Linked DNA regions of Xenopus tropicalis. The protein of the gene in region 2 interacts with the protein of the main gene of each other region in a pairwise test. Links are inferred from orthologs where the notes say so. Each region holds a gene or a part of one and is shown on either strand. Other genes may lie near its edges.

Region 1 (3,964 bases), on a different chromosome or scaffold from region 2:
ATAATAAAACAGTACCTGTACTTGATCCCAACTAAGATATAATTACCCCTTATTGGGGGCAGAACAGCCCTATTGGGTTTATTTAATGGTTAAATGATTCGCTTTTCTCTGTAATAATAAAACAGTACCTGTACTTGATCCCAACTAAGATATAAATAATCCTTATTGGGGCAGAACAGCCCTATTGGGTTTATTTTATGGTTAAATTATTCCCTTTTCTCTGTAATAATAAAACAGTACCTGTACTTGATCCCAACTAAGATATAATTACCCCTTATTGGGGCAGAACAGCCCTATTGGGTTTATTTAATGGTTAAATGATTCCCTTTTCTCTGTAATAATAAAACAGTACCTGTACTTGATCCCAACTAAGATATAATTACCCCTTATTGGGGGCAGAACAGCCCTATTGGGTTTATTTCATGGTTAAATGATTCCCTTTTCTCTGTAATAATAAAACAGTACCTGTACTTGATCCCAACTAAGATATAATTACCCCTTATTGGGGCAGAACAGCCCTATTGGGTTTATTTAATGGTTAAATGATTCCCTTTTCTCTGTAATAATAAAACAGTACCTGTACTTGATCCCAACTAAGATATAATTACCCCTTATTGGGGGCAGAACAGCCCTATTGGGTTTATTTAATGGTTAAATGATTCCCTTTTCTCTGTAATAATAAAACAGCACCTGTACTTGATCCCAACTAAGATATAATTACCCCTTATTGGGGGCAGAACAGCCCTATTGGGTTTATTTAATGGTTAAATGATTCCCTTTTCTCTGTAATAATAAAACAGTACCTGTACTTGATCCCAACTAAGATATAATTACCCCTTATTGGGGCAGAACAGCCCTATTGGGTTTATTTCATGGTTAAATGATTCCCTTTTCTCTGTAATAATAAAACAGTACCTGTACTTGATCCCAACTAAGATATAATTACCCCTTATTGGGGCAGAACAGCCCTATTGGGTTTATTTAATGGTTAAATGATTCCCTTTTCTCTGTAATAATAAAACAGCCTTACGACAATGAAGCTGCCCATAACAGTGCCAGTATATTGCCCCCACTGCAGATATATTGGGCCTGCCGAGCTCAGGTACCCTAACAAGCTACAGATGGATCACATACCAGTAGTGAGTGTGGAGATGTGAGCCGCAAAGTTAGGTTGAGACAAAAGATCTATGTACATGGTGGGGGTTCCATACATGCAAGTGCACCTAGAAAATACACAGAATAAAAGCAACTCAGTAACCACCTTAGAAGAAAGTAACATAATGTGCAGTTAACTCATTAAAAAGGTACATCTATCAGAGAGTCGGAACACTCCCACAGCAGACACAGAGCAGCATAAAACAAAAGTGCAGTGCACAGGGGGGACCAATAGAGGGCAGCATATACTGCATAAAGCAATATTGCAAAAGACGTACCATGAAACGACATTTGCCCAATAAAATATACTTCTAAAGGCTCCCATACACGGGCCGATAGTAGCTGCTGATATGGGTCCCTTGGACCGATTCGGCAGCTAATCGGCCAGTGTATGGGCACTTCTGACGGGCCTGCCCGACCGATATCTGTCCTGAAATCGGGCAGATCTCTATCGGCCAGGTTAGAAAATCTAGTTGGATCGGGGACTGCACCGGCTCATTGATGCGATACCCAGACAGACTTTACCTATACCCGTCGTTATAATTTGATCGTTTGTCCCCAGGGCCAAATGATCAAATTACCCTGGATTCTCCCGATATCGCCCACCCGTAGGTGGGGGATATCGGGAGAAGATTCGCTCACTTGGCGACATCGCCAAACGAGCGGATCTGCCAGTGTATGGGGACCTTAACAGATATAGGACTATTAGCGCAGTGCTCTACTACCAAACAACCAGAAGGTGGCAGAATCCTCAAACAACACAATGATTTGCTGGCAGACAGAGCACTGGACTAATGATACGATATATGCCGGGACCTGTGCAGTGTGACCTAGTGGCACAACCAGGTTTAATAGCAAATGCTTGTGGTTTCTGAATCCAGGAAGACATGGGGTTCGTAACCTGCATCCCCTACTTGTGCCTGTGCCCCAGGCTCTTTAATATAGATTGTAAGCTCTTTGTGCCAGCGGAACATGGAATGATGAGGCAGAGGGGAACCTGAGGGCACTGGGGGGGAGGGGATCTAGGGTTCTTACTTCTCATTGGAAATAGCCTCAAGGAGAGCCCGAGGATCATAACCTGGAGACGGGAAGACCAGGGTGGTACCATAAACTGCCATAACCATTCCCCCAATCACAGAGCCCAGGCAGTGATACAGCGGCACCGGGATGGCTGTTCTAACGCCCTGGAAGAAATATGGGTCCCTGGGTCATTTAAAAAGCAGATGGCGACTCCATCCATTACAGGTTGGGAATGCCAGGAATCAGTCCAATATTGCCTCACCTTCCTCCAGTTGAAGCCCATCCGCCTTCCCCCAAGGCTTGAATTGTTAACAATGTTGTGGTGACTAAGAGTTGCCCCTTTGGGACTTCCAGTTGTTCCCTAGAAACAGACACACACGGAGTAAGATAAGGAAGGAGGTTACACAATGAAGGTACAGGAGGCATGGATACAGATAGCATGGAGAGGGGAGGATAAGAATACATATATTGTTTTCCATAGACAGTACAGTATGGGGGTACAGCTTATTGTGTGCCCAGAACATTCCTTCTCTGTATATTTGTATTTATACATATGGGTAGGAGGTGCCATAGTGTTTCCCTTAGACAGTACAGTATGGGGGTACAGCTTATTGTGTGCCCAGAACATTCCTTCTCTGTATATTTGTATTTATACATATGGGTAGGGGGTGCCATAGTGTTTCCCTTAGACAGTACAGTATGGGGGTACAGCTTATTGTGTGCCCAGAACATTCCTTCTCTGTATATTTGTATTTATACATATGGGTAGGAGGTGCCATAGTGTTTCCCTTAGACAGTACAGTATGGGGGTACAGCTTATTGTGTGCCCAGAACATTCCTTCTCTGTATATTTGTATTTATACATATGGGTAGGGGGTGCCATAGTGTTTCCCTTAGACAGTACAGTATGGGGGTACAGCTTATTGTGTGCCCAGAACATTCCTTCTCTGTATATTTGTATTTATACATATGGGTAGGGGGTGCCATAGTGTTTCCCTTAGACAGTACAGTATGGGGGTACAGCTTTTTGTGTGCCCAGAACATTCCTTCTCTGTATATTTGTTTTTTTACATATGGGTAGGAGATGCCATAGTGTTTCCCTTAGACAGTACAGTATGGGGGTACAGCTTATTGTGTGCCCAGAACATTCCCTCTCTGTATATTTGTATTTATACATATGGGTAGGGGGTGCCATAGTGTTTCCCTTAGACAGTACAGTATGGGGGTACAGCTTATTGTGTGCCCAGAACATTCCTTCTCTGTATATTTGTATTTATACATATGGGTAGGAGGTGCCATAGTGTTTCCCTTAGACAGTACAGTATGGGGGTACAGCTTATTGTGTGCCCAGAACATTCCTTCTCTGTATATTTGTATTTATACATATGGGTAGGGGGTGCCATAGTGTTTCCCTTAGACAGTACAGTATGGGGGTACAGCTTATTGTGTGCCCAGAACATTCCTTCTCTGTATATTTGTATTTATACATATGGGTAGGGGGTGCCATAGTGTTTCCCTTAGACAGTACAGTATGGGGGTACAGCTTATTGTGTGCCCAGAACATTCCTTCTCTGTATATTTGTATTTATACATATGGGTAGGAGGTGCCATAGTGTTTCCCTTAGACAGTACAGTATGGGGGTACAGCTTATTGTGCCCAGAACATTCCTTCTCTGTATATTTGTATTTATACATATGGGTAGGAGGTGCCATAGTGTTTCCCTTAGACAGTACAGTATGGGGGTACAGCTTATTGTGTGCCCAGAACATTCCTTCTCTGTATATTTGT
Region 2 (4,554 bases):
GGATTGCTCGCTCCCCAGTCTGGTTCAGTTTTCTGCTAACAGGAGCACCGGCCCAGGGTATCAGGTAATGATGATACAATCACTGGGGGGCACCCACCAATGACTAAACCTTTCCTTCTCCTTTAATAATAACAATAATAGGTCTTGTGCAGGAAGTATAAAGAAATCAATGTCTGTTTGGGCAAGCAGACATAATTGCTCAATAAATGGATTACAGGAAGCTTTATCTTTCCTTTCTCCTCACATCTCTCTAACATGACTACAAACATATGACCTTGATATGCATTAATAAAGCCTCAAACTGAAATTCAGTACTGTAAAATGTATAATATTATGTATTAGTTATAGCAGTACTAACATTTACTCCTGTGTCTGATTGTTACCATTTATTATGCAGGGGTTTCTGGGTTAACAGTGTTAACTATAAATCATTTGGAATTTCTTTTGCTTCCCGATTCTCTGCATCCAATGCCACTAATCAGCTGATAACAGGCAACACCCTTCCTAGAGGCTTCAAAGGCCAGTCCAATCAGCCTGCCATGAGTCAATGCTGCAATAAAATACCCCCACCCAACACCTTTTACTAGAATATGACTAAAAAACACCAAAATATCTCAAAATATTAAAAAAGGGTTTGTGGTAGGACCTCAAGTTAAGGAAACACAACCTGGTCCAGTTTTCGTTTTAACTTAGAAAAGGGTTAGCGTCAAGAAGAAGAAGAGTTTGATGCATTTTGCATTATCATGGTCATAAGATCTTGCATTTTTTCCTACTGCCTCATAAAAATTTCAGGCCAGTTAGCCGACAGCTTGGCAACGGGAGGTGGAAGTGCAATAGATCAGCCTTTTGGCAAGTTCCCAAATACTGGAGCCACAGTGAACTCAGTACAGAAATGTAATTTTGAAAAATACTTTAAATAAATGTCCAACCGGGGGCCCAACAGCTGCTGTCCTGCAATAATGTCAACTAGAAGACTAAGACAATGGTCATTTAGCCAATGCTAATTGTAAAGTGTCCATCCAGCAGCCCTCCAGCCGTTAGACTAGTGGCACCCCATGCTGTAGAAAAAGCCAATGTATGCTGATCTACTTCTTGCTGTAAGTGCACCGACAGGCATGTTGTTGGCCTACACATGCACACACAAAGCGGGTGTCATACTTTCGCATTTCTGTGCCAAAATCCGCTCAGGCCCATAGTGTACCTGTCAGTGTGCAGATAGAAGTGGATGGCCTTTTGCCCAGCTTGATTTTGTACACAAAGCCTCGGCTACAGGGGCCCAGAATATGCCAGTTAGTAGAGATTTGGGTAGAATGCATATTTTTCAACCTTGGAAGCCAAACTTACAAGTCAATTAGTGTAAGTGTTTTTGGAGAACACTATTTGCTGCCCTAGATATTCTTGGAACTATGGCAGAATAGCTAATAGTAAAGATTACATATGGCAATAACCTTGTTATGAGCTGATGGGGCGGCAGCCAAATACTGGGTGTCAAATATGTGCTTGACCCAAAAAAGTACAGAAACCACTGCCCTAATCCAACAACTACGGCTACACAGTCCTAGCGACGTAGTCCAACACCTGGAGCCACAGACTCGTAACAAGCCCTAGTCCGACACCTGGAGCCACAGACTCGTAACAAGCCCTAGTCCAACAGCTGGAGGGCCACAGACACATAACAAGCCCTAGCCCAACAGCTGGAGGGCCACAGACTCGTAACAAGCCCTAGTCCGACACCTGGAGCCACAGACTCGTAACAAGCCCTAGTCCAACAGCTGGAGGGCCACAGACACATAACAAGCCCTAGCCCAACAGCTGGAGGGCCACAGACTCGTAACAAGCCCTAGCCCAACAGCTGGAGGGCCACAGACTCGTAACAAGCCCTAGCCCAACAGCTGGAGGGCCACAGACTCGTAACAAGCCCTAGTCCAATAGCTGGAGGGCCACAGACTTGTAACAAGCCCTAGCCCAACAGCTGGAGGGCCACAGACTCGTAACAAGCCCTAGTCCAATAGCTGGAGGGCCACAAACTCGTAACAAGCCCTAGTCCTATAGCTGGAGGGCCACAGACTCATAACAAGCCCTAGCCCAACAGCTGGAGGTCCACAGACTCGTAACAAGCCCTAGCCCAATAGCTGGAGGGCCACAGACTTGTAACAAGCCCTAGCCCAACAGCTGGAGGGCCACAGACTCGTAACAAGCCCTAGTCCAATAGCTGGAGGGCCACAAACTCGTAACAAGCCCTAGTCCTATAGCTGGAGGGCCACAGACTCATAACAAGCCCTAGCCCAACAGCTGGAGGTCCACAGATTTGTAACAGGCCCTAGTACAATAGTTGGAGGGCCACAGACTCGTAACAAGCCCTAGTCCAACAGCTGGAGGGCCACATATTTGTAACAAGCCCTAGTCCAACAGCTGGAGGGCCACATATTTGTAACAAGCCCTAGTCCAACAGCTGGAGGGCCACAGATTTGTAACAAGCCCTAGCCCAATAGCAGAAGGGCCACAGACTTGTAACTAGCACTAGTCCAACAGCTGGAGGGCCACAGGGCAGACATCCTGGAATCAAATCGTACGTTCTTCTAGCAAAGAACCTCCCTTTCCAGCCCTTGGCACAATACGTCCTTACTGCGGTTCCACTGATTATCAGTATTTGTTCTGTCAGAATAACATGAGGTTTTGCAAGCGATTAAATCGACACACACATTGCACTAACCAGCCCGCACAGCCTGTCATTCACACGGGAGGTTCCTATTGATTTGCCGAGTCAGGCCTGCAGTAACTAGCATAGCATTTGGAAGACTGTCAGCATATTATATTAATGGTACTGCGTATAACCTCTTACCAAGAAAGCCCGCACTGTTTAATCACCGCTACGGCACCTACCAGCTGATTGGCACTCCTGTTGTCCCCTTCCGCCATTGTCTGTCACAGTCCCTGCTAGAGCGCACTCTCACACTGGCAGCGAGCAGCTAACGCACTGTTACATATAAGGCGGCTCCCGGCATCCTTCACGAGAACTAGGCTGCCTAGCAACAGCACAAGCAATAGATTTAGGATTGGTGGGATTAAGCAAAAACACAGACCAGTCGGCCAATCGCGATGTTGTATGATAAATCTGCCAAATTACATTACAAATGTTTGAAATTTTTTGAATAGCCGTTTTGACGCTTGAGGGGTGTGATAAACAAAAGGAAAGGTTTCGTGTAGGGCATTGCAAATCCATGTGCTATCCATTCGGCAGAGTGACAATAAGGAGAGGCGCAGCTACACACTGCGTTACTCGGTGAGGCGGCGGCACTGCATGCCCATATTGGCATACCTCTTGTGGGGAAAATTCTGATGCGGGTGAAAGAACATACCTAGGACTTGAACAGCTACACAACTGTGAAACTCACAGCGCCCTCCACAGATCATGGGCAAAACTGCATGAGTTTTTGAGGTGGAATGTGGCTGCCTTTTGACATTTGTATTAAAACAAGTAAACATGGAGCAAGTTAGTGCCCCATGCGCCCCGTATAACTTCTAGGCCCCCTCAAGTCGCAGAGTCTGCTATAACCATAGTTATATCCCCCTACAGAGTACCCAATCAGTTTAATTGAGGTGTCATCACCCCTAAGCCCAGCACAGAGCCCCCAATTAGCAGAACCCCAAACAGGATTCCAGCTCGGCTACTGTGACTGGTTGGAGTGCTGAGGGCCTGATCCATTTCCTGTAACAAGCATCCATTGCAGTAGCTCTCTTGTTCTGGGCTATTATAGGTGCCTTGCTCTGCAGGCAGACCCCTCCTACTGTTGCTAATGTGGCCCTAATTCTCTGAACAGGCCTCAGGCACAGTGGGAGCAGCCGATGGACTAAGGGCTATACAGGTGTGTGACTGGTAGCCAAACGCAGTGCAGCCTATACCTGTTGCTTTATTTCACTCATCCAGAGACTCATGATGCAAAACCCGACATTTGCAAATCCGAAGGAGGTACAGTTAAGGGCCGTGACAAACGGGGATATTAGTTGCTAACGACAAATCTCCCTTGTCGTGGGCGACTAATCTCTCCGAAATGCCATCCCATCGGCTAGAATATAAATCGCCGGTGGGATGGCATTCGCGGCGCCGCAATTTCCCGACACCGCGGAATTTGTCTTGAGAGGAAACTTCTGCAATTTCAGGAAATCGTGGTGCCGCGTATGCCATCCCATGGGATGGCATTTCAGAGAGATTAGTCGCACACGAAAAGGGAGATTTGTCGCGGGCAACTAATCTCCCTGTCTGCCATGGCCCTAAAGGGGACATAGTGTGTGAAAAACAATATTGTGCCAATGAATTGTACTTATCTACAGTGGATATAAAAAGTCTACACACCCCTGATAAAATGTCAGGTTCCTGTGCTGTACAAAAATGAGACAAAGATAAATCATTTCAGAACTTTTTCCACCTTAATGTGACCTATAAACTGTACCACTCAATTGAAAAACAAACAAAACGAAATCTTTTAGGCAGAGGGAAGAAAACAAAAAAACTAAAATAATGTGGGTGCATAAGTGTGCACACCCTTAAACTAA
Region 3 (4,759 bases), on a different chromosome or scaffold from region 2:
ACGCATGCGCTGTAGGCCAAACATGCATACGGAGCAGTGGGGAGAAGTCCCCATTGCTCCGTATGGGGACAAAACTTTTACAATTTTGGTGCGGCGGGGCGGCATGCCGCCCCCAGGTTTCTGGCGCCCTAGGCCCGGGCCTTTGTGGCCTCTCCACAAACCCAGCCTGTTAACGTGTCCAGCCACAGCCTAGGGTTTTTTTTTTTTTTTTTTAAAGCATTTTCTCCCCCTATACAGGCACAAGATGCAACAGGAACCCTGTGCTAAATGCCTGCTCAAGGTAGGTACAGTGCTCCCACAAGAAAAAAGTTTTATTGAATAAAATCCAGTGTTTCCGGCACCAACATTGCTCTTCCTCAGGTACAAACGCTTCTGCTGAAATGGCTGACTACTTTAACAGTAGTTGACTGCCTTCAGCCTGCATCCTCCAAATCCCTTCACAGGTGATGTCAATAAGGAAAGTAACATCACTGAGCAATGCATTGTGGGTTATGTAGTTCCTGCATGCTGTTACAATTTGTTACATCAGATGTTAGCAGCTCACCACTGCTTCCTGCTCCCCTATGGCTTCCCCCTTGCGTCAGATCATAGCGGAGGGTAAATTACCTTGGGGGGCTGTATCCAGCCCACGGGCCGTAGGTTGAGGATGCCTGCTTTAGTCCCTGTTTCCCTGCCAGGATTTCAAATGATGCAGAAAAACAACTGTTTTGCAGCTGTATTTCAACATACAAAAAGTGGTATTTATTCATACTTTTTGAAGGAACATATTTCAGTGATGGTATATTAGGGGTTTCTGTGTTGTGCAGGGCTCTTTAATAAATGTTGGATTAGAACTAAAGTTCCCCTTTTAATTCATAAACAAAATGGGTACCATTGTACACAAACCGATACCCTTGTATATATATTATCAGGCACATTGTGCAATCAAGTATACTGGTATCCCTGGATTATATCACAATCCTTCCATTACAGGTTGTTCAAACTGCATTGGTACATTGTATTTAAAAGAGAAGGAAAGTCAAAGTCAAATGTTAGGCACCCCAAAGTGACTTCAATAGCCTACCTTTTACCCCGGGCTGGTGCCCCTGTTCAGAGAGAACAGCACCAGCCCGGGGTAGCTGCGAGCACTTGCTCCTTCCTGCTTCACTGCGCGCGCATGCGCAGTAGAGTGAAAAGAGAAACTTTAAGAGAGAAGTCGGCTTTTCACTCTACTGCGCATGCACCTGTCCCGGACAATAAGCAGCAGCGTGAATAGGAAGGAGGAAGCGCATCGCTACAGGTACCCCGGGCTGGTGCTGTTTTCTCCGAACAGGGGCACCAGCCCGGGGTACAAGGCAAGCGATTAAAGTCACTTGGGGGTGCCTAACATTTTGGCACTCCCAAGTGACTTTGCCTTTCCTTCTCCTTTAAGCTGCGATGCCATTTTCTGGCTTCAATGTGTGTATGAATATTATTGCTGTGGAAGTCAGTTGTATGTGTAGGATCAAACACAGGAAGAAACAGCTCCTTCAGGCAGGTGTTAATTCCAGTGCTACCCTGTGTGTGCCCTGTACTTTGCCCGCTGTACTGCAGTAATAAAAGCACAATAAACCAACATTTTGTTATATATACAATATATATATAGAATATAGATGAGTGTATATTAAAGGAAGCACCTCTGTAGATAGCAATAAAGCATTTCTTACTTGTTCATAAATGAGACCTTATTTACGTTTACATTTTGTGTTCAACTTCAGTCAGATTTACCCAGACTTAACCCAGGAGACCCCCCACCTAAAAATCTGGACCAATAAAACTGAACATCACCAGCAGCAAAAAAAGCAGTACAGCTTGTCAGCTCTGCAAATGTCACAGCCACTGTAGCCCTGCCATCACATCCTCTGTCAGCAAGTATAGGTGCTTTATACATGTTCATCTCCAACATTTTATTACATGTGCCCCACATATGAAACACACACACTAACCCACAACATTCCAGTGCTAACATGAATAGGGAAGCATATGCTGGAAGTACAGTCCCACAACAGAACAGCTATAGGTACAGCCTCACTGGAAGACTGATGGACCAATTATAGGAAAGGGAAGAAAACCCCTTACATAGTTACATAGGGTTGAAAAAAGACCAGAGTCCATCAAGTTCAACCCATCCAAGTAAACCCAGCACACAACCCACATCTACCAATCTATACACTCACATACATAAACTATATATACAACCACTAATACTAACTGTAGATATTAGTATCACAATAGCCTTGGATATTCTGATTGTTCAAGAACTCATCCAGGCCCCTCTTAAAGGCATTAACAGAATCTGCCATTACCCCATCTCAATGTGAACTCAAATAGGAGCTCTGCATTAAGGGCTGGACACGTATAACATATAAATGGGACAAAGCTGAGAAGCATGTATGTGTATGTTATTGGTGTGCAGCAGCTTCAGCATGATTTGAAACCCCGTCTCCCAGCAGCTCAGAAAAAGCTGTTCTTAACAACGAAAGCAAGACTCAGCCACGTCCAGACATGAAACAGAGCAAAATAAGAAGAATACAGGTTGTGACATTACCTCTCAGGCCGAACAAGCTTCTCACACACACAACTTTTCCCTGTTCTGTTTTGGTTGTATGCGACCTCCCTTCCGGGGGCGGGGCTTGGGTGTTACCCTGCCGTCATAAGGCCATGCCCAGTGAGTTGCTAGGGGATGCGTGTGGGATGGTGCGAAAGACTAATACCAAGGATGTAGTCATCTGATGTGGTGGCTCTATTTGAGTGTATCTTGTGGGGCCCAATGCTTGGCATTGGTAGGGGTGCGTTTCCTCAGCGAGTAATAAAAGTACCTTATCAGCTCTCCTGGTGCGGCTGTCTATGCTGAGGAAATCAGTTCTCTCCCGTTCTGTCTTCACTGTTGCTTCCTGTTTGTCTGCCAGTGTGTGAGGAGTGGTGGGCGGGGCTATCTCGGAAGCAGTGCCAGTAGTGTGCCAGAGAGAAGCTGCGGGGAGAGTTGGGATTTGCTTTAGTACTCCCTGTAGTAACTGTAAAGCCGCTGTACATCTGCCCCTCCATCTTACTTACCCAGCTTACCAATTTGCTTCATCTGATATCTTTATAAAGCCCTTTGCTCTGTTCCCTTACATCTTATTATTAACTTTACTATAATTCATCAGTCACCTAATTCCTATTATTTGTGACTTTGTTTTATCTCCCCCCCCACTTCCCCCAGTAAAATAACACACACACATATATAGTGGGGGGGGGGGAGACTGAAGTTGAACACAAAATGTAAACGTAAATAAGGCCCAAAACCACAAAGGTCTCATTTATGAACAAGTAAGAAATGCTTGAAAAATTGTTTACATTCTATTGCTATCTACAGAGGTGCTTCCTTTAATATACACTCATAATATATATATATATACCAATTTGCTTCATCTGATATCCTTATAAAGCCCTTTGCTCTGTTCCCTTACATCTTATTATTAACTTTACTATAATTCATCAGTCACCTAATTCCTATTATTTGTGACTTTGTTTTATCTCCCCCCCCCACTATATATGTGTGTGTGTTATTTTACTGGGGGAAGTGGGGGGGGAGATAAAACAAAGTCACAAATAATAGGAATTAGGTGACTGATGAATTATAGTAAAGTTAATAATAAGATGTAAGGGAACAGAGCAAAGGGCTTTATAAGGATATCAGATGAAGCAAATTGGTATATATATATATATTATGAGTGTATATTAAAGGAAGCACCTCTGTAGATAGCAATAGAATGTAAACAATTTTTCAAGCATTTCTTACTTGTTCATAAATGAGACCTTTGTGGTTTTGGGCCTTATTTACGTTTACATTTTGTGTTCAACTTCAGTCAGATTTACCCAGACTTAACCCAGGAGACCCTCCCAAAAAATCTGGACCAATAAAACTGAACATCACCAGCAGCAAAAATGTCTCTGCAAATGTCAAAGCCACTGTAGCCCTGCCATCACATCCTCTGTCAGCAAGTATAGGTGCTTTATACATGTTCATCTCCAACATTTTATTACATGTGCCCCACATATGAAACATACACACTAACCCACAACATTCCAGTGCTAACATGAATAGGGAAGCAAATGCTGGAAGTACAGTCCCACAACAGAACAGCTATAGGTACAGCATCCCTGGAAGACTGATGGACCCAGGGCCGGGCCAAGGTATTTTGGCACCCTAGGCAAAGGCTTCAATCAGTGCACCCCCGCCCCCCGCATTACCATTTCCCACCTCACTATTATACAGTTTAATTTTTTTTTTTGCATTTTAAATAAAATTGTTAGTGGCACAACAGACAGTTTCATTCATCTTACAACACATTTATAAGGAAACTTAATTTATATAAATTAAATACAACCAAATAATCACAGCACACAAGAAAGAGCAGTCCCCAGTCATAGCAGTCACACATCGCAACCCTGAGGCCCAGATAGTCAGAATCTGCCATCATCCAACCCTTCCCCCTTCTGACTGTCCATGTAGCCATGCCAGCAGCCTTCATATTGTCCCCATGTACCTGGGCCATTACCCATCATATTGCCCCCAATCTGTACCTGTGCCAGCAGCAGCCAATCCCTCCAATTGCCCCCAAATAATCTGTACCTGTGCCAGCAACAGCCATCATATTGCCCCCAATCTGTACCTGTGCCAGCAGCAGCCATCATATTGCCCCCGAATAATCTGTACCTGTGCCAGCAGCAGCCATCATATAGCCCCCGAATAATCTGT
Region 4 (4,592 bases), on a different chromosome or scaffold from region 2:
ATAAACTACGGCAGATGGACAATTGTGGACACAATCTTGTGCATGTCCATCTGCCACAGTTTATGCTGTTCAGTGTGCAAGTGACTTATGTGCCATATTTTTTAGGCACAAGTGTGATGCGCCTATTGACTCTGAGCACAACCAAAATCGTTGGGCTACCACCTGGTCTGGAAGTTGTGGTAGTGTCACGGTTCCTGTGTCAATAGGCAATAGTCATACACAATTGCATCATAGCATATTGACCCCTTGAATACAATGATGCTGGAATTCTGGGAAAATACATTGTTGAATAAAAAACATGGCGACTGCGCTCAAAATTGCCTATTGCTCACTGTGCTTGTGAATGAGTCTTTTTGTATGTCAGGGAAAAGTGACAGCTCTGGCCAGCCTTCTCCACCTGTGCACTTTAGCACACTCTATATTTGTGCAATTTTATTTCACACAAGTAAAAATGATCTTTAGTGCTTTTTTTTAAAAAGTTGTGTGCACAGAGATGAGTGTGTCTGCATCAGTAAAATTCACTGCATTTTCTACAAATTGTTGGATATGGCAGCCTGTCATGCTGGGTGGGTAAATGGCTTAGCGGGAAGCAGTGGCATAACTAAATGTAATTTGCTCCACAACAACCCAATTATTGGGCCCCCAAATACTTTAGTAATGCATATTTCACTCCCCGACACTGCTGTATTATAATAACTCTGTGCAATGGATCCCCAACCTGTTTTACTTGTGAACCACACTCAGATGTTAGAAGTGTAGGGGAGCCACACAAGCATGAAAAAAGTTCTTTGGGTGATGCCAAGTAAGGGCTGTGATTGGCTACTTGGTAGCCCCATGTGGGTTGCTGGCCTGCAGGAGGTTCTGCTTGGGAGTAAAATGTAGTCTCTGTGCTTTCAAAACTTGCAGCCAAGCCACAAATGTAAATATGGGCACCCTCTGAGGCCAGTGGGAGCAACATCAACAGGGGTGATGAGCAACATGTTGCCCCTGAGCTAGTGGTTGGGGATCCTGCTCTACCCCACTGAAAAAGTACTGCTAGAACATTCTTTAAACATGAAGGCTGTAAAGTGTGGTGAACACTAGGCAAGGTATATACACAGCACGAAACCATCACCTCTTCTGCTAATACAGGATAACAGATTTTACACAGGGTCATATTTAAACGCATTTAAAATATAAGCTGCACGTCCACTCAAAAGATGCTCAGAATGTGACGCCGATGAAAACCGACGCTTGCCAAATTATTGGTGAAATATAAGCCGCCCAGAAAAATCGGGAGTTGTAGTTTCAATAAACGTGAGACACAGAGGATATCGTCTCATAAAAACTACAATTCCCAGCATGCCATCGTGATGCCATACATGCGCGTTTTTTGTGCTGCCCCCATGCGGCAGCGTGGCAGGTGTAAGTGCGCATGATCACACGTGTTCAGTGATCCATAAGGGGCAAGAGGCCGGAGTGGGGCTGCAGTGCTAGCCCGGGGACTAGTAGACATGCTTACGTTTTCTTTACGGCGCTTGGCACAGGTACGTGGCATAGAACTCAGGCACCGGCTGCTAGAACAGTGCTGTCCTGGTGACTGTCATGTACTGAGCTGCACAGGTTAGGGTAAGCCTGAACTGTCATGTGGGTGATGTAATATAACTCATATGGGATGCGCTATCCTGGCATGGGCTAGGGGACCTCAGGCATACATTGTAAGTACAACACTTAACCCTTGCTTAGTCAGTAGCTTACCTAGAAATTCAGCTTTTTTTCCCTATGTTCCTACAGCTTCCAACATGTGTTCTTGAGTTGCTGAGAGTTTTAACTGAGGAGCAACAAGTGAGGGATCCCTAGCATAGCATAGTATAGCATAGCAGGGGTTGCTAGGCTACGTTTTGAACCCAGATGAAGCTAAAGCTTAACTGTACCAAGGGCAGCTTGCATCACCTCATTTGGCAGGGTTGATTGGTCCATCCTGAATCAATATCTTGCCAAGCTGCCTTGTGTAATCAATAGTATATGTCATTTACCCCCAAGTCATTGCTCAGGTACCAAAAAAGAGTTGCTTCTGATTGGTGCAGGGTATAACACCTAGATATCTAGGTTTTGTCTAGTCATTAACCTTCCAGCAGTTGCTAAAGCAGCAGTTCTATTCAAAGATAAAGGCTCCCAGGGCATAACTACAGGGAATGTGACTACTGGGGAGCCTATGGGCACAAAAATTGCTTTTCCTCTTTAGAAGTTTAACAAACATGCAGTATTATGAGGATAATCCACAATTTAAAGCACATGGTAAGGGATATGAATGGATAGAGTGCCAATGATGTGAGGGGTGAAGGCTGGGAATTAAGTGGCATAACTGCTGTGGTCTTAATTACACCACTAAAAGGCTTTTGGCAAAGATGAAAGTTAAATAGTTGTTTTTGTACTCTGTATCTAGTTTTAGCACGTCTGTGTGCAGCTTAACAGTAAAGGATAAGTACTGACGTGGCATTTACTTTGAAATGGCATTCAATTGCTGCTATCCCCTAACAGGAGCTTACTTAGATTTCTATGTAGATTGATGCTTGCCAGTAGTGGCTATGCCAGTCCTTTACATTGGCTTATTTTCCTGGCATTACCTTTTATTAAGCCATATAGCATTCTCATTTACTGCTGTGCTGTTAATAATAAGTTGTGACTGTTTGTGCCATATGGAACATTCCAGCTTGTTTACTGCTCTTTTATTGCTCTGTTAATTTTTGCATAGAACTTGCTTGTGCAGTTCATTCTCCAGTATGATGAAAAATACATCCTCACAGGACATAGCCTTTGTGGTTTGGTGCAACTTGTTGCATGTCAGCAGTTGCTGCAAGTACAGTCATGCAATCATTTTACTAACAAAGTCGATTTAGTGCCAGGTCAGGCGGCAGGCAGGGGTACCGTTCCAAACCACAGGGAAGCATGATCATGCAGCTGGTAAACTTCCCTTTGTCAGGAGATGTTATTTAACTTTTGAAGGGAGAAAGATTCAATAGATAATGTTCCTTATACAGTAATATTGCAGGGATATATATATTGAAATAGTCCTGTAACTAACTGCGTATGATAAAGCTTTTTGTTTCTCAGCACTATGGTAGTGGCTGTACTGCGTGGGGAAAGTAATAGAGCTGATAGTTCACTTGTGATTGGTTTCTTTTATCATTCAGTTGCTAATGGTTCAGAAAAAATGGGATCATTATTCCCCCTGGGTATATGCACATGTAAATGCATGTTCTTCCAGTTATGTAAAACACTTTGGGTTTATATTGTAGACGAATAACTAGTCAAACTGTAGGTGCAGCTTAGTAATAAAATCTTTGGTTCTTCAACTGTTCAGCCTGTTCCCAGAATTCCTTCTGAATGCTCATTACTCTTTGAATGTAACTACAGATCCTGACATGTATGTTAAAATCCTACTGTGTATCTTCTGCTGTATAACTATGCATGGCCAGTTTTCTATAACCCCTAAGTAAAGAACCCACGGCACAGTAAAAAGCTCTCTTGTCCACCACCGACTGGACTCCACTGGGAGACTATAAAGGTCATTTACAGATTCAGGTGCAGTTGCACTTCTCCACTTTTCTCTGCAGTGAGTTGTGCGTTAAACCTAATTCATGAAGGGCAGTGGTACACGGGGAGATTAGTCGCCTCACGACAATGCCATCCCACTGGCTAGAATGTAAATCACCGGTGGGATGGCATATGTGTCACTGTGATGTCCCACAGTCGCCTGAAGTTGTCTTTGGAGGAAACTTTGGGCGACTGTGGGACATCGCTGCGACGCGTATGCCATCCTACCAGCAATTTACATTCTAGCTGGTGGGATGGCATTGCGGGGAGATTAGTCGCAACAACGAAGTTTTGTCACGGGGCAACCAATCTCCCCGTGGACCACTGCCGTAAAGGTACTTGCATCAAAATGTGCTCTCTTGCATTTAAGTATGGTTGCACTCTGCCACTCAGTCCTTCCTGCCTTCCGAGACAAGCGTTTCTGTGCCTATTTATGGGGCTCAGTAAACACTGAAAATGACACCAGATGGACTTCTGCACAATTGTGTCTAATTTGCAACATAACTCCTGAACTGTTGCCTTAATTTTGGAGAATCAGATGCAGATGTGACAGACTCAATGCATTTACATCTGGCGCAATGCCCCTTTGTGACTGCCATGATGGTGGAGAAAAAATACTGCATAGTGGGGACACACATGCTGGCTGTTCTCAAAGTTGCACCTTCACCGTTGCATTTGTGGTTGTAAATGTAATATTCATTTAAAAAATACAGGTGCATAGATAGTTGTATCAAGTGGTTACAGATAAATAATTAAAACTTTCTGAATATGCACCCAAACTCTTTTCTAACTGGGGTGCACATGGAGACACACTCACTGTAGGGCTGATCAGACTGTAGCTGTGTAGAACAACTCTGCAACACTGATTGGTGTGCATGGACCCTGAGTGATCCCCAAAGAACAGATTGGATTTTAGGGAGGCTATAGATTAACTGCAATGTGATTGGTCAGGCCAGCATAATACTGGAAAAGCCAGTGTTTTTGAGGGCATGGCTTCCATATGTTGCTAGATGTCC
Region 5 (3,964 bases), on a different chromosome or scaffold from region 2:
GTATATCTATCTCTATATATATATATAAATATAACGTTTTGTAAATATATTGCATGTTTTTGACTGTGCACCTTTAGTTAAAACCTATGATAGAGTGCAGACACTCATACCTATATATTTGGTCGCCAACTGTGACCTTTTCCCAAGGGGTTGTTTCTCAATGGCTTGGTTTTGGTTTGTTCCTTTGAGAAAGGCCATAGGTTTTTGAACTTTGTTATATATATGTAAAATAACTATATATATATATAACTAATATATAAGTCCCATTGTGCCAGTGTTTGAGAAAAGATTTTCATCCTCCTATGAGAAATCTTCTGGTGCCAATGCTATACTATATTTGAAGTTTTAAAATAACACCTAAAGAAGCATATGATGATCCCATCTATTTTGCATGAGAAGTTTAGAGCCAACAATGACAGCTAAAATAACAGAGCTGCAATATGTTAGCATGTTCACAATACTGCAGGCTTAGGGCACGCAGGGTTTGTAATCTACGGAAATCATGTCAATGATAGAGATATTCAGAAGGTGGTATTGTCATGGGGCCCAATCAACATTGGGCACATTTGCACCTGGAGAGTAACAGCAACCAATAAGTGAGTAACTTTTTGCAGCCAGTTGCAGGTAATGCATGAAAACAAATATCTGATTGGTTTCCTTGGGAAACTGCCCAGGTCCAAATTTTCCCGGTGGTAATAGATTAGCCCAATCAATATATTCTTGTTGGAACTTTTCTAATCACAATAACATAAGCCTAATTTCAGGTACTGCTGTTGATGATTCCCGAACGTGCATCTAAGTTTAAAATAAAGTTGCAGCCTAAACTCATTTCGCCTTCTCAGGGTTTCAGGATAGGATTTAATAACCCCTAATGTTCTTTCTTATTCATATGCCTTTTTGTTATCTCTTTGTAGAACAGGTACAGAACTGATACAAAATAAAATCTATACTTTACAAAATATCTTCAGTCAATATATCGATATATATATATATATTCTCTTTAGTAAAATTATATGTCTTAAATATATCAAATGTAAATTAGAAATCCCATCTAAATACTAAGAAAGGCAATGCAATTTTCCAGGCAGCAAATATGGCATTTTGGATCCTAAAATTGTATTGCCCCCATGAAGTATTCTTTAAAGTCTACTGTTTTGATACATTTGGCACAATCATATAAGGTACTTCAGCAGTTATTTTGTGTTACATACAAGTTGTAGATTATCTAGATGCTTCAATGATTCAAACCTACGGCCAATAAAGTGAAAACCTAAAATGCAAGACCATTACAGGAGCAATGTTTCTCCAATAAAACTATATTCAGGTTTCTACGACACAATATCGAATTACTTGTTGGAACACACTACAAATACATTCACACAGTTGAGAGAACTCCATTGTGTACCTATAGACTTGGAAATGGCCTACGGGAAATTTTATAAATCTTGCCCAAGGCGCTCGATTTCTTCAATCAGGAAATCAATGTCTTGATGCGCTGCTGCTGGGTTAGAGATAACCATGCGGAAAAAATTTCCTTTGTCTCCATGTGGCTGATAACTGACCATTGTGGTTCCGTACTCCATCATCCTGGCTTTGATGATAGGGGCAACCTATGAGCAGACACATTTAATATAAGATCACTGCAATGTAGCATTACTTCCACTGGATAATGTGCTTGCCATTATATATTTCATTGCTACGGCAATCGTTTAAAAAAAATCCAAACAAGTTACCTTGCTAAGCCGATTCATTCTTTCTTCATTGTCTTCCATGTTACGCAAACTTGGTGGTACATACCAGAAACATACATTTGTGTGCTGGGGCTATAAATACAGGAATATCATAAATTAGACCTGAATACCCTTGTGAATATAGTTCAGTCTGGAACATAATAATTAGACTAAAACAGTCATGTGGCTATAATAAAAGGTTATTTCTGAAAACACATATTCTTGAATGTTTTCACAGTAGTTGTGGTTGTCATAGATTTCCATTTTTCTTGGTTGTTAGACCAAAGGGAAACTAAAGTGAGGTGCGTTCCCCCTTTTTTAAAAAAAATCTTCTGAAGCAGACAGAAAGCAAATGCCACAGAGCAGGGACAAAAAGGGGAATACGTTCTATAATGCAACAAATGTAAGTAAATATTTTAGTAATAGGTTTACATTGATACTATGCCGGGATGAACGAAAAAAGTCATTTTATTACAGGCAGTATATTGGGACTTTTATGTACAGGTATGGGACCCATTATCCAGAATGCCCCTGACCTGGAGTTTTCCGGATAAGGGATCTTTCTGTAATTTGGATCTCCATACCTTAAGTCTACTAAAATATTATTTAAACATTAAATAAACAATTAATGAAGTAATATTATTTAAATATTAAATAAACCCAATAGGCTTGTTTTGCTTCCAATAAGGATTAATTTTATCTCAGTTGGGATCAAGTACAAGTAACAGTTTTATTATTACAGGGAAAAATTAGAAGCATTTGCTTATAATGGAGTCTATGGGAGATGGCCTTCCCTTAATTTGGATAACGTGTTTCCGGATAACGGATCCCATACCTGTATAATGTAAGAGGTTTCATTGTACCCACCGGGTGATGGGAACTTGACGTCAGCAAAAGCTGAAACTTTGTTTCCTGCTTTCTGTGAAAAAGTGGCCCTGCAAAGTCAGTTCTCTTTTAAACACCTGTCTTTAGGGAGTATAGGTTATAGGTCCATAACTCTTTTACTTTTAGCAAGGGTTTATGACAACAGGTACCTAATGTGTTCCAGCTATCTTTATGTATTGCAGGACTTTGGGCTTGAGAATCAATGTAAGTCTGACCTTTTGTAGTCATCATGTTCAAAGCTGCCCAAAGAATCAGCAGGGCATCACTATAACTGAATCAGACCCTATTTGGATTTCACAAGCTGGAGTAACCCAATAAATAGATTCTCATTTTGTGGTGCCCTTCTATGTCCCATAGCAGTTCCCATAATGGCCCCACCTGCTTCATATTTTAGTAAATCACAACTCACATTAGGGACCTTGAAGGGGCAGAAGTTGTTCAACAAATGATGGCACAAAAACAGCAGACCCAATTTTGGACAGTTTATAATATGCCATCTCTTAAACCTTTCTGCTCTTTACACCTGGAAATCCATCCATGAATTCCTCTATAGGAACACTGCCTCAATCTCTTCAAAAAGACACACAGATCCTACCTTTTGGAGCACTTGAACATTATGGCACAGTCTTGGCACTTAAGGGTAGGGATGTAGCGAACCTAAAAAAAAAAGTTCGTGAACGCGTTCGCGAACTTACGCCAAAAAGCGCGAATATTCGCGAACTTTGCGAACCCCATAGACTTAAATGGGAAGGCGAACTTTAAAACCTAGAAAAGCCATTTCTGGCCAGAAAACTGATTTTAAATTTGTTTAAAGGGTGCCACGACCTGGACAGGGGCATGCAGGAGAGGGATCAAGGGCAAAAATTTCTCTAAAAAGTACTTTGTTGAAAAAGCGTTGCGTAAAAACGGGCAGACCTAGCGGAAATACGCGGCGTTGTTTGCTATTTCGCGCTATTGGCACCATGGAAACGGGATTTGCTTACACCAGTACTAGGCTGAAAAACGCCATGTATGATTGTGCGGCGTTTTTTTAGGCTGAGAAAAAATGCAGAGAAAAAACGCGGCGAACCCAAATTGCGAACATACACGGAAAGTTCGCGAACTTGCGCGTTCGCGAACACCCGATGTTCGTGCAAATTAGTTCGCCGGCAAACAGTTCGCTACATCTCTACTTAAGGGCCAATGCCCAAACCTTTGTGCACTTTGCCCTCAAAATAGTACCCCTGTACCTTATTAACCCACTTAGACCGTAAGAACTATGGGAAGGTGACCTCCTTTCTACTGTGTCTCTTACAACATGGCACTTAATCTCCCTATGTTAATGCTATTTATTTCATTTGTTATAACAC
Region 6 (3,964 bases), on a different chromosome or scaffold from region 2:
ACCACCAGCCCAGAGGTGGTTTAACCTTTCCATCTTCTGTAAGACACCATAAAAACAACCATATTAACCACAGCATTAAGTACCTGGTGACATTTAGTAGTGAACACCCTTCCGATTTTACTTTCATACAAAAATTCAACACAGGACAACCTACATAGTTAGTAAAATTAGCATTTAGCCTCAGCTCATGCCGGGGCAGGGGGAGTTTGTTTTTGTCAGTCTGTGTATAGGCTGCATAGAGAGAAGGTGTCTCTTTGAAGATCTGCTGCACAGCAAAATTAATCAGGGGCTTTATCGATGCCATAGTGTATTATACAAACTTAGCTGTACCTCTGTATAACAATGTATAAAATAACATAGCCTTACGTTAATACAGCATTGCTCTGGAGCTTTTGTCGGAGCCATACAAATTCCCGAAACCTTCTTCTTACACATGAAGTTTTCAGAGTGAAACACATACTGTTTGTCTGGGGGAAAAAAAAAACAAACAAACAATCAAACGCCAAATTAATCCAATAGGATTGTTTTTCAATTATTTGATTAAAATAAAGTCTATGGGAGATGGCCTTCCCTTAATTTGGAGCTTTCTGGATAACGGGTTTCCAGATAAAGGGATTGCATACATATACAAATAAATAAAGATATACATATACACACACATTAAAAAATAACTGATTTGGTGCTAATGCCAAATGGACTAGAAACAGTACAAGTGACAGCATTCACAGGGTTTTAAAAAAATTGAGAAACACATTTCATATTCTGAAATATACATCAATTATATATTTATACACACACACACAACTGACAATTGTTGTTGCACAGACTTGGGCTGGTCTGTTTCACTGCCACAAAATAAACACCTTACATGAGGTGAGTTTAGAGGAAGGTGGTGCCAGACCCAACTTTTAATACAAACAGCATGTTAGTTGTGGCAGCCAACCTTAAACCGCTCCTACCCAGCATGCTATAAGGATTATATTTTCAAGCTGTAACAGGACAGTCCTGTTTAGTCATTAGTATGAAAAGAGTGCACCCTGATACTTACATGAACACAGATTTCATAATCCACATAAGAATGCCAATCTTCTTTCTGTACTTTAGGGTCTCGCACCCACACAGAGATGGTTTCCTGTAAGATCATGATTTAGAAATTAGTCCAGCACCCACTGTGCCCTGCAATCTGCACTTGCTGATCAGCCTCACTCAGCTCCACTGTGAATGCAAACTTTGCCTTATATAATGTCAGAAACGGGAAGGGAAAACAAAAAGGCACCAGACTAAACATGCCCTGGAATTTTTGTCTTCACAGAGCTATAGAGGAAGAAAGATAAGGATTTCTAAGATTGCAAAACAATGAAAAAACTATTAAGCCATTTTACCAAAATGGTTAAAAACTAGAATGCTTAGAAATTTAAAAAAAAATACTCCCAGCTATAATTGCACTGTTTCAAGTTTACATAAAATAAATAACAAGTTGAGTGAGTTATGTGTTTACCTGAACACTAGACTCAGTGTTTTCTGACCACAAATTACACAGCACAATTGATAAATTAGTAATAGGCTTCCAACTATTTACCGCACTTTGGTTCGTAAGAAGGCAACTGATCTATAAACAATGAAACGCTAGTTTAAGCCGTAAGTGTATTGCAATAGCACATTTTAGTACACTTGTTAAGCTGATAATCATTTCTGCATGTCTATAGGTCACAAATATTTCTTTACTTAAAAGGTGTGCTCAACTGTCTGCATTTTTAATGGATCAGAACAGTACCTCCTCAGCCACAATATTTGCTTATTGTTCAAAAGGTAGGCATACCTCTGTGTATTTATGGGCACTTCATGTGCTGCCACTGCTGGAATCTCTCTAACTCTCTCTGATACACCAAACCTCTTTCCTGAGCATTTGTGAGGCCAAGTATCTTTTATCTTTAAAGTAATAGGAGGTTGTCTCACTATTTGGAGATCTCAGGATCCCATATGATGACCAAAACATAGATTTATAGATTATAGTACTGAGGAAAAGAAAAAGACTTATTATTCACCCCTTACCCACCCATTTATTTCTTTAAATGCACTTGTAATTAGTACTTCTTCTGTCACTATAAACGTACCCAATTTCTATAGAGTTGCATGCTTTAAAACTACCATAGAATAGTTATTCTAAAAATGTAAGGAAATTATTTACCAAAACTTGGATTAAACAGGGTTTAATAACAACTGTGCCAGGCCATACTTCCAGTCAGTTTGACGAAAATATTTTCTGTGCCCTACATTAATATTAGATATATATATATATATATATATATTATATACATAGAAATATATTATAGAATTCAGCCCATGGACCAAATGAATGGCCAGGACACCAGGTCTGACTGCTTTGTGGTTCTTACCTAACCTGATCTGCCCAAATACTCAATCCCTAGCTGCTTCCTGACTGCTGCCATTAACATGAAGCTGTGATTTAAAAAAAAAAAAAAAAAAAAAAAACTTTCTAGCCTTTTTCTGTTGCCTAATTTAAAAACGAGCCAATTAAGTTGAATATAGTAAAAGCATTTTTGCCCTAAATGTCAACCGCTTACCTTCACTTGTTTTTTAATAGTACACAAAAATAAATACTTTTTAGTTTCATAGTTTTTCTATGATGCAGTTTAAGTCGGTTTGCTTTGTTTTTTCACCTTTCTAGTAGCAACCAACTCTCTAAACTGTTAATTATTTGACATATAAGTTACTCCTGTTTCTCTTAAAGAGCACCTATCACCCTAAAATTGCTTGTGGGCTAATAAAGAAAACTATTGATTCCCCAAACCAGAGTTTGCCCCACTTAACATAGCTGCTCACACCACAAGCTGCCTGGAAGCCCGCACCTCTGGTAGGGAAACAATTTTAGGGCCAGGTGCCCTTTAAGTTTTATAAAAAGGTATAGAGATCAGCTGTCACAACTCGATACATTAGTTGTAGTCATTCTTGCAAGTGTGGGATAAATATTAATACAGGTATGGAACCGGTTATCCAGAATGCTCGGGACCTGGGGTTTTCCGGATAAGGGGTCTATCCGTGATTTGGATCTCCAACAAAAAAAACAAATTCTACTAAAAAAATTATTTCAACAGTAATTAAACCCAATAGGATTGCTTTGCCTCCAATAAGGATTAATTTTATCTTAGTTGGGATCAAGTACAAGGTACAGTTTTATTATTACAGAGAAAAAGGAAATCATTTTTATAAATGTGAATTATTTGATTACAATGGAGTCTATGGGAGATGGCCTTTCCGCAATTCAGAACTTTCTGGATAATTGGGTTTCCGGATAAGGGGTTCAATACCTGTAGTGGCTAAATATGCTGATTGGAAATGCCAACAACTAATGTATCATACTGGAACAGTTCAGAGAGAAGATATCCATGTTGCTTGTTTAAACGCATTTAACCATATAGACATAACATAAATAATGGATTTTAGAAAACCCATTATTCGAGGCATAAAATAGGGCACTGCGTCTTGAAACTAATGTATTTAGTACATGAAGGCACATGGAATATATTGACCACCACTGCCATCAGGCGGAGAAGAACTGGGGGGTCTATATGCTCACCATTTTTGACAGCTATGGGTAAGCGTTAGTTAAAATAGACATAGAGGATCACTTACACCTTCTTGGTCCCTTGGCAACATACTTCTATAACAGCCGAAATACAGAATATCTGCAATAGAAAAAGAATACTGTTAATACTCAACAAATATTTTTGTAATAAATGCAACAAGGTCATACTGAGCCAGCGTGCAGTTTTATTTTATTTTTGTTATTAATTTTATTTGAAGGATTTTTCAAGTGGTTCAATTAAAAAAGACTTATAGAATTGTATCTAGGGCTAGAGCTCCCAAAATATAAGGTAGGCACAATGTTACTGCCATTAAATATACCTGCAGAGAAGCAAAAATACTGACACATGGACATACA
Region 7 (4,526 bases), on a different chromosome or scaffold from region 2:
TAAAAAAGCATCCCATTTTTGAAAAGTCATACTGAATATTTTAACTGCCTTAAACAGAACGCTAGAGAAGGCATGAACTGAACATACAGGCAGAGAGAAATCAATAAGTTGCTTGGTAGACAGACAGACAGAAAGATGGCTGGTCCCATCTGCTGACTCATTCTCTAAGTCACATTGAGAGGTGCGAGCTACGCAGAACACTGTCAGGAAGCTGTGAACTTCCAGCCCGCTGTTTTTTATCCTAATTTAAGACAAATTCTATCACCTTCTCGCTCTGCCACCCTGTTTCTCCCACCCTGTCTTTGCTTTTCAATTCCTGTTGAATAAAGGAAAATGAATAGATATTGCATTACTTACTTTCTGTTGAGATCTCATACTATCATACAGTTTAAGCAAAAAGATACAACAATCAAATGACAATATGGCTTGCACACAGATGGTGGTTTAGCGACAAATTTTTCTGGAAAAAACCACAAACAATAGGCATACTGTATAAGGTTTCTTTTCCTACAAACCAACAGTCTCAGCCTGAACACATACCTCTCTCTTCCCCATGCCACAGAGATATCAGGGTTGAAAACATCTTCCGCCCAGAGCATGCAGAGACATCAAGAGCTCCACCTTCCAAATCGAAATAATGGGCATACACATTCCTAGCCTCCTCCCACAGATATGTACATTCCTCACACCCATCCTCCAGTAGGCATCATCACTTTCCCAACCCACATTTTCTTTGTTATGTCAATGCTGTTTGTTAAACTTCCCAATGAAATATCAAACACATGCCAAAAAAAAATTAGATTTGCCACTTAAAATTCAATAACTTAGTAGATCCCAGTGACAGAAGATTTTTACATTCTGATAAACACCAAAGACTTTAACCTGCTACAGGGCACTTAATAGGATTATTGTGCAAATTCCACCGCAGTTAGATGCTGCTTTAATTCACTATAGTTAAGATGAGACATTCTCAATTCTGGACTTCTAAGTCAACAACTGCACAACTCAACAGCATCTTAGGACAAATGTTGTTATGTATTTTAAAAACAATTTCAGTATATAATATCAGTGGTATTTTTAATGATACCTCTTAATGTGGAATTCTAATCACCAGTTTATTAACCTTGCGTCTTCAAATATTGTTGTATTACATAGCCAGCAGGCTTTCAGTCTTGATTATATTTTAAAGAATGATGGGAGTTTTAGTCCAGAAACCTCTGAAGGCCTAAGATTAAGGAACGGGGCTCTAGTACATGGACTTCAGAAAAACTGTAATTATATCTGTACTGTCTTCTGGTACAATAGCTTTTGTTAAGTATTTTGTGAAACTGACAAGTAAAATCATCTTCCTGACTAACTAAGTTATGACTAAACTTATTCTTACTGTGCACCCGTAAAATCCTAGGCTTAAATATTGCTAACAAAATTATATTTGTTACATAACAATTCTCATCAATATGTCTCTTACCAAAAGAGGACAGGTGCCTTTCGAAATTGCCAGCAGATATCTGCACTACTAGAATCTCATTTCCTATGCCCCTTACGACATTCTTGGCACATTACTCACCCATTTCTCAGCACAGATCTTATAACTACATTCTTGGCATGTAATGTTTTAGTTTCTCAGCACATCTTATTACCACATTCTTGGGATATCAGTTATCCAGAAACCCATTATCCAGAATTACAGAAAGGCCATCTCCCAGATACTCCGTTTTAATCAAATAATTCACATTTTTAAAATGATTTATTTTTTCTCTGTAATTATAACAGTACCTTGTACTTGACCCTAAGCAAGATATAACTGATTCTTTTTGAGGCAAAACAATCCTTCTGGGGTTAAATAATATTTAAATAATTTTTCAGTAGACTTAAGGTATGAAGAGGAAAGACCTCTTATCCGGAAAACCCCAGGTTCCAAGAATTCTGGATAGCATGTCCCCTACCTATACCAGATTCTCATCACACATGTCCCTCGCCACATTCTAGCTGAATCCCCTAATTTTCAGTCAAATATTACTTAGCAATTTCTCAGTACTTTCATCATACAGCAAATTCTAAAGACAGATTTCTGTTACCAAATTATTATAATTCTAAGGAAGTACATCCTTTACCAAATTTTAAGCACTTGTGTAATGTAAAGTGTTCATTATAAAATTCTCAGAGCATATCCTTCCCAAAAAATTGTTCATATGCCCCTTTCTAAATCCACATCATCTTGCTTAAATCTGAGTTCAGGCATGGCATCTTTGTAAAGTCCAATGCATGTTATTAAAATCTCAGGAATCCATGTTATGGCGAACTGTAATCGTAAATCAATAAGAACAGCACATATTTCATTGAGGATCCTTTAAATACATAGGGAACGATAAACCAGCAGGGGAACAGTACCAGCCTTTGAAAGAAATGAATGCTCTATAACTCTTACAGACATTTAACTGGAAATGTACAGGACAAAGTATATTACTTGTACATTGCATTTTTTTAGAAATTTCTCAGGGGCCATGGACTTAAAAACTCTTTTGCAAATCAGAGTCTATATATAGGTTCAGAAAGCACATACAGCTCCTTCAAAACCCCATTTAAGCTTATTCAACTATATATTTTTTTTTTTTTAAAAGGCATTTTACAGGAGTAGAAAATAAATCTCCTTACTGAAATAACGTGAAAGAAAATGTCCACATCATTCTAAGTTTCATTTTCCACAAAACACCACATGTTCTTTTTTAGACTGCTATGAGGTTTGGAAGACAGTCCCTCAAGAGATTTTCATTACTGCAAAAGAACACACCCAGCCGTACAAAGCTCACAACCAACTCCAACACAATTACTGCACCAGCACAATTCTCAGGGACATGCATGCAAGGTGACTCGTAGACAGTTAAATATGCAGCAAGTCAGTTACAAACCCATAGACTATTACCTGCCCAGAGCTCTATCTTATGCCCCAGCAGCTTCATTATCTCTGCAGACAACGCAGCAAATAACTGCTTCAGGCAGAGTGAGAGACCTCCTGATGTAGCTGTCTGAGAGGGAGAAGCAGGAAGGGGGAATGAAGAAGGCAGGGAGCTGTCCAGCAAAGCAAAGCTTTATACAGTCTTATATGGCTAGTAAATTAAATGAGCAATAGGTAGAACAATACAAAATAAGAGGAGTGTGTGCAGGAATGACCGAAAGGAACAAAGAGTGGCCTATTCAGTAAAGCTTTGAGAGAGAATGCGAGAGATAGGGGAGTGACTGAGCAAATGGAGAGTGGAGGAGGGAGGCTGGAGAGAGGGGAATAGTGCCAGGGACAATCTGCCAGCCAGCACAATCTGTGTGACAGCTCAATGCAGATATGTTAGACAGTATAAGGGGCTTGCCCCTGACAATGAATTGAATGCATGTGCTGCATAGGTGGCACACAGAAAAAACATCTGGCTATATGTTGTTTAACTACAGCTCCCATTAGCCCCAGCAGATACTGGGAGCATTAGCTGTTCTGTCATCCCTGCTATATAGTGAATGCATTCTCTTAAAGCATTTATCTAAATCATCTCATATGATTACATCTAAGCAAAAACAAAAGATATATAGAAGGAAAGTGACTCTATGGATTTCTCTCCAGATGACACAATTTAGAACAATAACTGTAAGGATATAAAGATAATCTAGGACTATGAAATTAAACTAACTGTTTGGGTTATACCCTGACGCTGTGCCTATACACCAACCAGGAAATGCTAGAGTGTCAAGAAACAGTCATCAGAGTAACCCTTTCATTTCTATCTGGAAACAGAATTCAACAGTACCATATTAGTCAATAGTTGGCAATAACCTTTTGGTATATTAACAATCAAGGCCAACAAGTGACTAGCAATTTAGGGTTGTCAGCAGTCTTTAAACCCTATAAAGCTATGTAATCTAGCAAAAACAGTAAGCTGCCATTTTTTATGCTTCTTCCCCGTCTCAATGTGAAAACAAAAAAAAACCTATGCTTAAGAAGAACATAGGAATGGCAGACAGTTTTCTATATGCCATCTCATGGTTGTCAGACAGGCACCATTTTAAATGTCTCTCTGTCTGCCTACTCCTCTTTAGTGTCTAATAAACCCCCCTCCTTGCCACCAAAGACATTTGTAGCCCCTCTGGCAGGCATTTACAATTACCTCTCCCCTCAGATCCTCCTCTTCCTTCCCAGATGAAGCCTGGCTGTTTTTCCACGTGTTGAGCTGTCTCTATTCTGCTCAGTGGCACGGGTGGCAAAAAGAGGGAGGGGCAAACTCTATAGGGTAAGTGAGCGAGTGTGCCCACACCAGGTTTTGGATCCCCAGGTTGTGCCTTTTGTTAGCACCTGCTTATAGCATATAACAGGTTATGCGTCCCTGCGGGGGGAAATAGTAATATATACAGGGATGTGGGTTTGTGGAATAGGAGGAGGGCAGGTGGATAAAGTGAGAGAAATACACTGGGTGAAGCTGTGCTGCGTCAGTGGGGAGGGGGTAGAGGAGTGGTTGGTTTCTGAGGTGGAGCAATCTTTCTCTGGG

The links.
Region 1: the proteins of arl6ip1 (region 2) and acsf2 interact in binary tests that used the Homo sapiens proteins (3 or more experiments, as listed by UniProt). The two-hybrid records come from large-scale screens. The link is inferred for Xenopus tropicalis from reciprocal best matches to the Homo sapiens genes ARL6IP1 and ACSF2.
Region 3: the proteins of arl6ip1 (region 2) and inpp5k interact in binary tests that used the Homo sapiens proteins (3 or more experiments, as listed by UniProt). The link is inferred for Xenopus tropicalis from reciprocal best matches to the Homo sapiens genes ARL6IP1 and INPP5K.
Region 4: the proteins of arl6ip1 (region 2) and shmt2 interact in binary tests that used the Homo sapiens proteins (3 or more experiments, as listed by UniProt). The two-hybrid records come from large-scale screens. The link is inferred for Xenopus tropicalis from reciprocal best matches to the Homo sapiens genes ARL6IP1 and SHMT2.
Region 5: the proteins of arl6ip1 (region 2) and gad2 interact in binary tests that used the Homo sapiens proteins (3 or more experiments, as listed by UniProt). The two-hybrid records come from large-scale screens. The link is inferred for Xenopus tropicalis from reciprocal best matches to the Homo sapiens genes ARL6IP1 and GAD2.
Region 6: the proteins of arl6ip1 (region 2) and snx10 interact in binary tests that used the Homo sapiens proteins (3 or more experiments, as listed by UniProt). The two-hybrid records come from large-scale screens. The link is inferred for Xenopus tropicalis from reciprocal best matches to the Homo sapiens genes ARL6IP1 and SNX10.
Region 7: the proteins of arl6ip1 (region 2) and ndrg4 interact in binary tests that used the Homo sapiens proteins (3 or more experiments, as listed by UniProt). The two-hybrid records come from large-scale screens. The link is inferred for Xenopus tropicalis from reciprocal best matches to the Homo sapiens genes ARL6IP1 and NDRG4.

Annotation. Positions count from the first base shown.
Region 1 is NC_030686.2:43,861,028-43,864,991, forward strand, and holds part of acsf2 (medium-chain acyl-CoA ligase ACSF2, mitochondrial), read right to left. Parts: intron 2,537-3,964; coding exon 2,438-2,536; intron 2,340-2,437; coding exon 2,191-2,339; intron 1,224-2,190; coding exon 1,135-1,223; intron 1-1,134. UniProt on the Homo sapiens protein: Acyl-CoA synthases catalyze the initial reaction in fatty acid metabolism, by forming a thioester with CoA. Has some preference toward medium-chain substrates. Plays a role in adipocyte differentiation.
Region 2 is NC_030685.2:32,818,635-32,823,188, reverse strand, and holds the start of arl6ip1 (ADP-ribosylation factor-like protein 6-interacting protein 1), read right to left. Parts: upstream 3,022-4,554; 5' UTR 2,920-3,021; coding exon 2,884-2,919; intron 1-2,883. UniProt on the Homo sapiens protein: Positively regulates SLC1A1/EAAC1-mediated glutamate transport by increasing its affinity for glutamate in a PKC activity-dependent manner.
Region 3 is NC_030678.2:45,854,128-45,858,886, reverse strand, and holds the start of inpp5k (inositol polyphosphate 5-phosphatase K), read right to left. Parts: upstream 2,862-4,759; 5' UTR 2,838-2,861; intron 1-2,837. UniProt on the Homo sapiens protein: Inositol 5-phosphatase which acts on inositol 1,4,5-trisphosphate, inositol 1,3,4,5-tetrakisphosphate, phosphatidylinositol 4,5-bisphosphate and phosphatidylinositol 3,4,5-trisphosphate.
Region 4 is NC_030678.2:139,768,505-139,773,096, forward strand, and holds the start of shmt2 (serine hydroxymethyltransferase, mitochondrial), read left to right. Parts: upstream 1-1,437; 5' UTR 1,438-1,493; coding exon of another isoform or gene 1,494-1,526; intron 1,527-4,592. UniProt on the Homo sapiens protein: Catalyzes the cleavage of serine to glycine accompanied with the production of 5,10-methylenetetrahydrofolate, an essential intermediate for purine biosynthesis.
Region 5 is NC_030682.2:25,243,746-25,247,709, forward strand, and holds part of gad2 (glutamate decarboxylase 2), read right to left. Parts: intron 1,824-3,964; coding exon 1,734-1,823; intron 1,611-1,733; coding exon 1,437-1,610; 3' UTR 1-1,436. UniProt on the Homo sapiens protein: Catalyzes the production of GABA.
Region 6 is NC_030682.2:41,694,741-41,698,704, reverse strand, and holds part of snx10 (sorting nexin-10), read right to left. Parts: intron 3,708-3,964; 5' UTR 3,679-3,707; coding exon 3,655-3,678; intron 1,133-3,654; coding exon 1,049-1,132; intron 468-1,048; coding exon 367-467; intron 1-366. UniProt on the Homo sapiens protein: Probable phosphoinositide-binding protein involved in protein sorting and membrane trafficking in endosomes. Plays a role in cilium biogenesis through regulation of the transport and the localization of proteins to the cilium.
Region 7 is NC_030680.2:75,844,229-75,848,754, reverse strand, and holds the start of ndrg4 (protein NDRG4), read right to left. Parts: upstream 3,181-4,526; 5' UTR 2,961-3,180; coding exon 2,924-2,960; intron 608-2,923; exon of another isoform or gene 584-607; coding exon of another isoform or gene 541-583; intron 1-540. UniProt on the Homo sapiens protein: Contributes to the maintenance of intracerebral BDNF levels within the normal range, which is necessary for the preservation of spatial learning and the resistance to neuronal cell death caused by ischemic stress.